2 linked regions of the Callithrix jacchus genome follow. Each later gene encodes a partner of the first gene's protein in a complex. Links are inferred from orthologs where the notes say so. Each region holds a gene or a part of one and is shown in the gene's direction. Other genes may lie near its edges. The genes, in order: PDS5B and WAPL.

Evidence for each region.
Region 2: the proteins of PDS5B (region 1) and WAPL are in contact, whole or in part, in a crystal structure (PDB 5HDT), measured with the Homo sapiens proteins. The link is inferred for Callithrix jacchus from reciprocal best matches to the Homo sapiens genes PDS5B and WAPL. Residues at the interface, in NP_055847.1 of Homo sapiens: Gln47, Phe88, Ala92, Pro93, Ala95, Trp137, Val138, Lys139, Ser140, Asn142, Ile143, Phe145, Glu146, Glu187, Gly188, Asp189; in NP_055860.1 of Homo sapiens: Lys7, Thr8, Tyr9, Ser10, Arg11.

Annotation. Positions count from the first base shown.
Region 1 is NC_133506.1:151,836,960-151,841,499, forward strand, and holds the start of PDS5B (sister chromatid cohesion protein PDS5 homolog B), read left to right. Parts: upstream 1-1,522; 5' UTR 1,523-1,663; intron 1,664-2,109; exon of another isoform or gene 2,110-2,504; intron 2,505-2,562; 5' UTR 2,563-2,740; intron 2,741-4,540. UniProt on the Homo sapiens protein: Regulator of sister chromatid cohesion in mitosis which may stabilize cohesin complex association with chromatin. May couple sister chromatid cohesion during mitosis to DNA replication.
Region 2 is NC_133513.1:43,534,669-43,538,480, forward strand, and holds part of WAPL (wings apart-like protein homolog), read left to right. Parts: coding exon 1-765; intron 766-3,468; coding exon of another isoform or gene 3,469-3,486; coding exon 3,487-3,587; intron 3,588-3,812. UniProt on the Homo sapiens protein: Regulator of sister chromatid cohesion in mitosis which negatively regulates cohesin association with chromatin. Involved in both sister chromatid cohesion during interphase and sister-chromatid resolution during early stages of mitosis.

The DNA of each region.
Region 1 (4,540 bases):
AGAAAAAACTCAGTAGACTTCATTAAGGAATGTATAAAATGGGTAGCACCTGGAGTATTCAGTGGCCAAATCTTGGATAATGTAATGCATACTGTAAATATACTGGTCTAACAAGCACTGGCGGAGACTGAAGCGGAATTGTCCAGGGGATCTCACAAACACGGAAATGAAGAGGTCTCAGTAACACTAGGTGCCCTGGCCCGATGGAATACCAATGGACACACCTTTTTTTCTTTTTCTTTTTTTTTGGAGACGGAGTAGTTTCGCTCTTGTTACCCAGGCTGGAGTGCAATGGCGCGATCTCGGCTCACCGCAACCTCCGTCCCCTGGGTTCAGGCAATTCTCCTGCCTCACCCTCCTGAGTAGCTGGGACTACAGGCACGCGCCACCGTGCCCAGCTAATTTTTTGTATTTTTAGTAGAGACGGGGTTTCACCATGTTGACCAGGATGGTCTTCATCTCTTGACCTCGTGATCCACCCGCCTCGGCCTCCCAAAGTGCTGGGATTACAGGCGTGAGTCACCGAGCCCGGCCAGGACATAGCTTTTCTAACACAGTAACAATAGTTTATACATCAGCATTACCTATCTTTTGTTTCAGTTGATAAATATCCTACGGTAATCCATTCATTCACTCTTTGCTTGTTCATTGTTGAAACAAATTCTCCCTGGAACAAAATCCTAGTAACCATATACATCTTATCAGGAGAAACTTCCTTACTGCAGGGATGGTACTAAAGTAAAAAGAGGAGGCAGTCCCTTTTTTAGCTCTGGCAGAAACCTGGCTGGGGAGGAAACCTTCCCCCAAGGTAGGTGACCGGGCTAAGCCCACTACAGCTGCAGGAGGGACTGCCATCTCCTGGAGGTAAAGGGGGAGGAGACCCAATTCCTGCAATGTGTCCCTGTGGTCTCCAGATGATTTCTTCCTCTAATGAGGACAATTCTGCCAAAGGAATGGTATGCTTCGTCACAGGCTGATTACTGTGTGTCCTCCCAGCCTACCACCTATATACAATATCTCAAATTAGGAAAGTTGGGAGATTTAATAAAGACGTAGCAAGTAAAGTGTAGGAACACTATTTGTATGGCATTCCGAGAAGAAGGCAGAGTTAACAAGGAGCAAAGTAATTAATTCCAAGTCTGTTTACCCAGCACATCAGTGCGGAATGTTAGTGTTTAAAAAAATCTCCCACCCTTTTTCTAAAAAGATGGAGCTACATAACAATCGGTGTGTTTTTTTTTCGGTAGAGGTCTAGGAAGCCGCAGGGGCAGTGGACGCCTTGACAGCAGCCCGTCTCGCGGCCCCCGGGCGGCGTGCCCGTGTGGCTGCGTGCGCGCGGACGGGGCGGGGCTGAGGAGGGGCGTGCGCGCGCGCGCGGACGGGGCGGGGCGGAGCTCGGAGGGCGGGCGCGCGCGGGGCCATCTGGTCGGCAGGGGGCGCTGCGCACCTATGGCGCGCTCTGGCTGCCCCCGGGTGCTGTCCGCCGCGGTTCGATTGGAGCAGCTGCCGAAGAGCGCTTGGCGCCATTTTGAAGCGGAGAGGAGGAGGAACGGCCGGGCTGGCTGCGGAAGGGGAGGGGGGGGAGAAGGCGATTGGATGCGGCGGCGGCGGTGGATCCCGGAGAGCCGCGGAGTGAGAGGAGTAGCGATTCGGGCACCCGGAGGTAGGAAACAATTCAGTTAACGGAAAGAAAATGTCTCTTCTCTCAGGCCGCGGCGCTCCATTTTTCAGCGGCCGCCACCGCCGCTGTGTGTGTGTGTGTCTGTGTGTGTGTGTGTGTGTGTCTCTGTGGCGGGGATGAAGCGCCGCCCGCCGGGCTGCCAGGCGCGACTCGCCTCCCGGCATCGGGGGCTGCAGCGGGCAGCTGCCTGACGGCGGCCCGGGGCGGGGGTCGCGGGGTGCGGGCCAGGCTGAGCGGTGGGGGTGGGGAGGGCCCCGCGCCGGCTCGCGCCTCCACGCCGCGGGCTTTGCGGCAGCCTCTGGAAATTAAACTTGCCGCCCTGATCCCGGCCGGGGCGGCGGCGGCGGGCGGTGACCTTGCGCGCGGGCGGGGGTCCCGGGGCTGACCGGCCGCCCGCGCCCTCTCGCCGCCGCCGCGCCCCTCCCCCCGCGCCCCGGCCGGGCGGCCGGCGGCTGTTTCCCGGGCGGCAGGCGGGCGGCGCGGTGCTCCTGTTGAATCCTCCCGCGGGCGGGCTTCTCCCCCTTCCGGGCGAGGGGCGGGCGGGGAACGTGGGTCGGGGCCGCGGGCACCCTCGCCCCCGCCGCCTGGTCCCGGCGCGCCGCCCGGCCTCCGCTCCGGGCCAGGGAACGGGCTGAGCGTGACATTTTTACACGGTTCCTCGCCACTCGCCGCAGGGAAATCGCGCTCACCGCGCCGCCCTGAGCGGGTGCTCCGGGAACCTGAGGACCCAGTTGAGGAAGAGCTCAGCGCTGGCGTGGAGGGACTCCTCCCAGGCGACAACTGGGTTCTAGCTTTCCTTTCGGAAGGAACGGCGGGGAAAATGGTGTGCGATTGTGACTCGTTAGTGTTTTTTCACTGTTATTTTATTGCCACTTTAAAAGTTACAGTTTAGGGAAAAACCTTGTTTGCTGTTGTCGCTGGTGCTGCTGTTGGTTTTTGGTAGAGACGTGAAAGCTAACTCTAAGTAGCTCGACAGTTATTTGGAGGAATGACTGGACCCTGAAACGCCGCCCCTCGTCTTCGGAACTGCAGGCTGCTGCGTTCCTTGCCGCGGACTGGGTGAGCTCCGGGAAGGGCTGAAAGAGCAGCTACGCACCCACTCCACTTGCGTCTTCAGCATTCTCTCTTCCCTAGCAAGGGTCAACCCTTTTTTATGTCGCTTCCCTAGCAAGGGTCAACCCTTTTTTATGTCGAAGAAAGTGCTTCTCGTACTTTTATTATGAGGTGATGGACGGGCAGTGGTGCCCCGACTGATCCTACCTTGTTGATTAAATAGTTTCAGAAACTTTGGTTATAGCCTAAATTTAGAGGGTTGGTTTCCGCTGTGCAGAGTTGGGTAATCCTGTATCATCCTAATAAACTTTAAAAACTAAAGTTGTGTTTACATACTGGAGGCGAGCTGTAAATAAATTGTAATTACCTAATGCTTGAATGGCAGTAAGTCATTGTTCTCAGTTAACACATCCAGACAGAGTTCCCAGACAGAACGTTTTTTAACTCCTGTAGTGGTCAGGTAAAGTAGTTAAAAACCACAGACATGCACTTGAAAGACAGCTCTTTATGCAGCATACATGTCAGAGATGTTTCCATCTTTAGGGACAATAAGATGAGTATTCACGGGTGTATGCAGGTCAGTTTGTGGAACAATTAATCTTGTATCTCATGGTGATAGAAAACCTATTAAAATGTATATAGTGGTGAATATGTAGGTGAAAGTTACATGGGACCTTTTATGTTAAGATAGATTTATTCTCATAAATATAACTGTAAAACACATCTTAAGAACATTATACATTTACAAACATATATTTTAAAAAATGCACTTTAGACTTTATAAAAATTACCAGAATAGTGACTTTTGCCGCTTTTTTCTGATGGTTTAAAAAATTGTCCTCAGGTGGCTTTTACTTCAAGGTGTATTTTAAATGGGAAGGTATGTTTGTCTTGGCCTTTTTTTTTTCTTTTCTCTTTGTTTTGGTTGAGTCTGATTCTTCCTATATTAACTTTCCTTTTACTGCAGCTTTTGTTACTCTTGTCGCCTTTATTCTCTCAGGTTATGTCTCTCCCCCTCTAATTCCCCCTTCTGCCCTCCCAAATTAGAGAGACATGTCGTGATAGTGATTCTTGTCATGAGATGTTTGTATTAAGCTTATTTGTAATAAGGTTCTACTGAGCTGGCTGTTGGATGAAAGCTGTTTAAATTGTTCTGCAGCTTTGTTTAACAAAGTAACATTTTGGGGAGTAGGCTTTATCAGTAATTTGTTAGGCCTAAGATAAAGTGGTACCCTGTATTAGACAGGCTTGCCCTGGAGAAGAATGCAATGGTAGAAAGTACTCAAAACTGTGGGGAAGGAATATTTTGAGAAGTTGTATTCTTTCTGCTTATTTCTCTTGGAAAACTTAGAGACTGCCTTAGAACTAACAGGAGTAGTGCTCACTGTGATTTGGCTTATGGACTCTTGAATGACATGGATTGTATATAACATATTAGAAAAGAATACATTTGTGTTTCCTCTGTTAGTGTTAGAGAGCAACAAGAAAATTTAACTGATGATCTCCAACTCATACATGAGAAATTAAATTCAGATTGTAATTTCATTGATTTATCTAAGATCACAGTCATATTCACATCGTGGCATTCGGACAGCCTTTAGAGATCCTGGAAGCTTAGAAGTTTTCCCCTTGTCTTTTTTTGTTTTATTCAGGATTTAGCAATATTTATTAATAAAATTTAGGGTAGCATATTACCTTCCATCCCCTTCCCACCTTTTCATTCATTTAACCAAGAATGAAGTTTTATGGTTGGCCATCTGTTTCAGCGTCTGGTTTTTAATAATTTTTGTTCGAGATTCAGTCTGT
Region 2 (3,812 bases), on another chromosome or scaffold:
GTTTGGATAGTGATTCCCTTTTGGAGATGAAGGATGATGATTTTAAAAATCGATTGGAAAATCTGAATGAAGCCATTGAGGATGATGTTGTTCAAAGTGTTCTTAGGCCAACCAATTGTAGGACGTACTGTAGGGCCAATAAAGCGAAATCTTCCCAAGGAGCATCAAATTTTGATAAGCTGATGGACGGCACCAGTCAGGCCTTAGCCAAAGCAAACAGTGAATCGAGTAAAGATGGCCTGAATCAGGCAAAGAAAGGTGGTGTAAGTTGTGGGACCAGTTTTAGAGGGACAGTTGGACGGACTAGAGATTATACTGTTTTACATCCATCTTGCTTGTCAGTTTGTAATGTTACTATACAGGATACTATGGAACGCAGCATGGATGAATTCACTGCATCCACTCCTGCAGATTTGGGAGAAGCTGGTCGTCTCAGAAAAAAGGCAGATATTGCAACTTCTAAGACCACTACTAGATTTCGACCTAGTAATACTAAATCCAAAAAGGATGTTAAACTTGAATTTTTTGGTTTTGAAGATCATGAGACAGGAGGTGATGAAGGAGGTTCTGGAAGTTCTAATTACAAAATTAAATATTTTGGCTTTGATGATCTCAGTGAAAGCGAAGATGATGAAGATGAAGACTGTCAAGTGGAAAGAAAGACAAGCAAAAAAAGAACTAAAACGGCTCCATCACCCTCCTTGCAACCTCCCCCAGAAAGCAATGATAATTCCCAGGACAGTCAGTCTGGTACTAATAATGCAGGTAAGAATTTAAAAATATGTATAATAAGTACAGTAGTCCCCCCGTATCCACAGTTTCACTTTCTATGGTTTCAGTTATCCAAGGTCAACCACATTCTGGAAAGAGGTGAGTACAATATAAGAAGATAAAGTCCTCATTCACATAACTTTTATTATAGCATATTGTTATAATGATTCTGTTTTATTCTTATTGTTAATCTTTTACTGTGCTTGATTTATAAATTAAACTTTATCGTAGGTATGTATATGAAAAAACATAGTACATACAGGTTTTGGTGTATTATTCCATGGTTTCAGGCATCTACTAGGGACTGATATGTATCGCCTATTGATGGCAGGGGGACTACTTTAAGTGTGCTTTTCAGGCTTAAATCAACAGCTACATAGTTTCTTCCTAGATACTCAATTTTAGGTTGTTATGTTTGTTAAAAGTACCTGTTGAGAACCGCAGATTACCTTATTCAGAGGTACAGCATTTTAAGTGTTAATGATCAGGTCCCAGGTTGTAAGGAACCAATTTGTAAATTGGAGAGTGTTCATATTTGAGTTTTAATTTAACCTTTAGCACTTGAGAACTTTAAAGCATATAGGTATATGGGGCAGGGGCATTAGACATCATGATGTTTTCATTTTGACAAATCCAAATGCAGTGAAGACATAGGTTAGGTTTTGGACCTTTGGAACTATACTGATAACAGATGGTTATAATGAGGGAAAGAACAGATTAGAATTAAAAAACGCTTTGTGGTTGAATTAAAACTGATAAACATTCAAAATACCCTCAAACCCTCTTAAGTTGGTTCAGTAAAATTGAAGAGTGCCAGGTAAGTATGCATTCACTCTTAGCTGTGGAAATTTAATTTGTGGGAGATTGTAGACCCAGTGATGACGAAAGGTCCTCTAGGAGTTCAGTCTCCACTGTGAGAGAGAGACAAAAGAAATAGGTTAGCTCTACTATAATTAAGTCATTACCTTACAAGGACTTTATGAACTGGATTGACTGTCTAGTGAGGAAGAATTTGTGGAAGCCTCTGGGATACATGGTTTTTTAACCAAATACAGTTTTTCTGGATTGGTTTACATATTAAGTAAAGTTTTTGTCCTGATAGGGCCACAGAAGTGTCATTATGGTAAATTAGAATTATAATAGCATTTTAAAATAGAGATTCTCTTGTAGAGTATAAGTCATTCTTGAGATTATCTACCATTTTGCTTTATTTGGCCTAAAAATAATTTTGTTCAATTTATTCTTCAAAACTAGAAATACACAGGAGTACCCCTAGGGGCGCACCCCCTCCCCCAGAAAAAAAGGAATACATCCAGTGTTATCTTTGAATGCTTTCTGGATAATGGAAGTTTGCAGCAGCCTTACTGTATCTTGAGATCTGGCTGGGCAGAATAGCTAGACGTTTGGTTCCTCAGGAGAATGATAAATGCTGCTATACAATACCGGTGCCCTTGTCCTGCTACAGTTGACTTAGCTTTTATTCTGACTTGGATAGCAAGTTATCCTCGTCTGCAATTGAAAATCTGTGGCTGAAATTTACACATTGGGTAGTAAAACTTTTAAAGCTTTAAAATGTGGAATTAGACTCCTTTTGAGAAACTTAAAGTAGATAATAAATAACATTTGAAAATTAGAGGCCATTTGGTTGATCTACTGAAAGTTGAAATTTCAGTCTTCATACCATATATGAAGCAGCAAAAAATTTTAAGCATTGGGATAGAGAAAAGTCTTCCTATTTTCTTTTTTTTGTTTAGCTTAGATAAAGATACATATTTTTAACCAGTTGGGAAATAAGCTGATTGTTTGGTTAGTTGTGTTTGAAGACTGACAAACCATTAAACTTTGTTATATTAGGTCATTTAAAATCTCTTGCCAAGGATAACTGTCCTCCTTTTCTGGTGTTTTTTTTTGTTTTGTTTTGTTTTTTGAGACGGAGTTTCGCTGTTGTTACCCAGACTGGAGTGCAATGGCACGATCTCGGCTCACCACAACCTCTGCCTTCTGGGTTCAAGCAATTCTCCTGCCTCAGCCTCCCAAGTAGCTGGGACTACAGGTGTGCACCACCATGCCCAGCTAATTTTTGTATTTTTAGTAGAGATGGGGTTTCACCTTGTTGACCAGGATGGTCTCGATCTCTTGACCTCGTGATCCACCCACCTCGGCCTCCCAAAGTGCTGGGATAATAGGCATGAGCCACCGCACCCGGCCTTTTCTGGTGTTTTCAATGTGGCTTTTATAGTTGCCAACAGGCATTCTTTGAACGCTAACATGATTTAGTGGATTTAAAGTTCCTAAAAAAATGCTACAGGTGGGTACCACATGATGTTTTATATGTACGTAAACTAGACCTTTCCAGTGTCAGTATCCATAGATATCCAGCAGTTACGTGACTTCTCGAAAGTAAGAAAATTATTTTGGAAAAGATTTAATTTTGCCATTTAACATAAATTAGGACTAGAACACATAGACAGCAACCAGGTTTATGATTTCTCTTATGGAAGGGACAAGCAGGAAGGGAGAAGAATGGCAGAATGAAACTTCTTATTCTAGGGAGTATTCTGGGGAGCTCTGTGGTGCTCTGATTCCTTTATTCTTTAATTCCCATTTTCATTCATTCATATATATTTAATCTTCATGGGTTGTCTGGTAGGTAATTTGAAATGTTAGTAAGCTAGACAGTTTTGGTTACCATTTCAGAAAACTTGGATTTTACAGAGGACTTGCCTGGTGTGCCTGAAAGTGTGAAGAAACCCATAAATAAACAAGGAGATAAATCAAAAGAAAACACCAGAAAGATTTTTAGTGGCCCCAAACGGGTAAGTAAAGCATTATCAGTGATTTTTATTATTGATTTGTTATTGGAGGGCTCAACTCTTAATTTTTAATTTGAAAGTCACTAATAAACAGCAACTGTCTTTCAAAGGATATATGTAAGTCATTTTTTCAAATGTAACTGTATTTTTTAAATTGTGGTAAAATACACATATTTTTAAACCATTCTCAAGTGTACAAGTCAGTGGCATTACTTTCATGATGTTAAT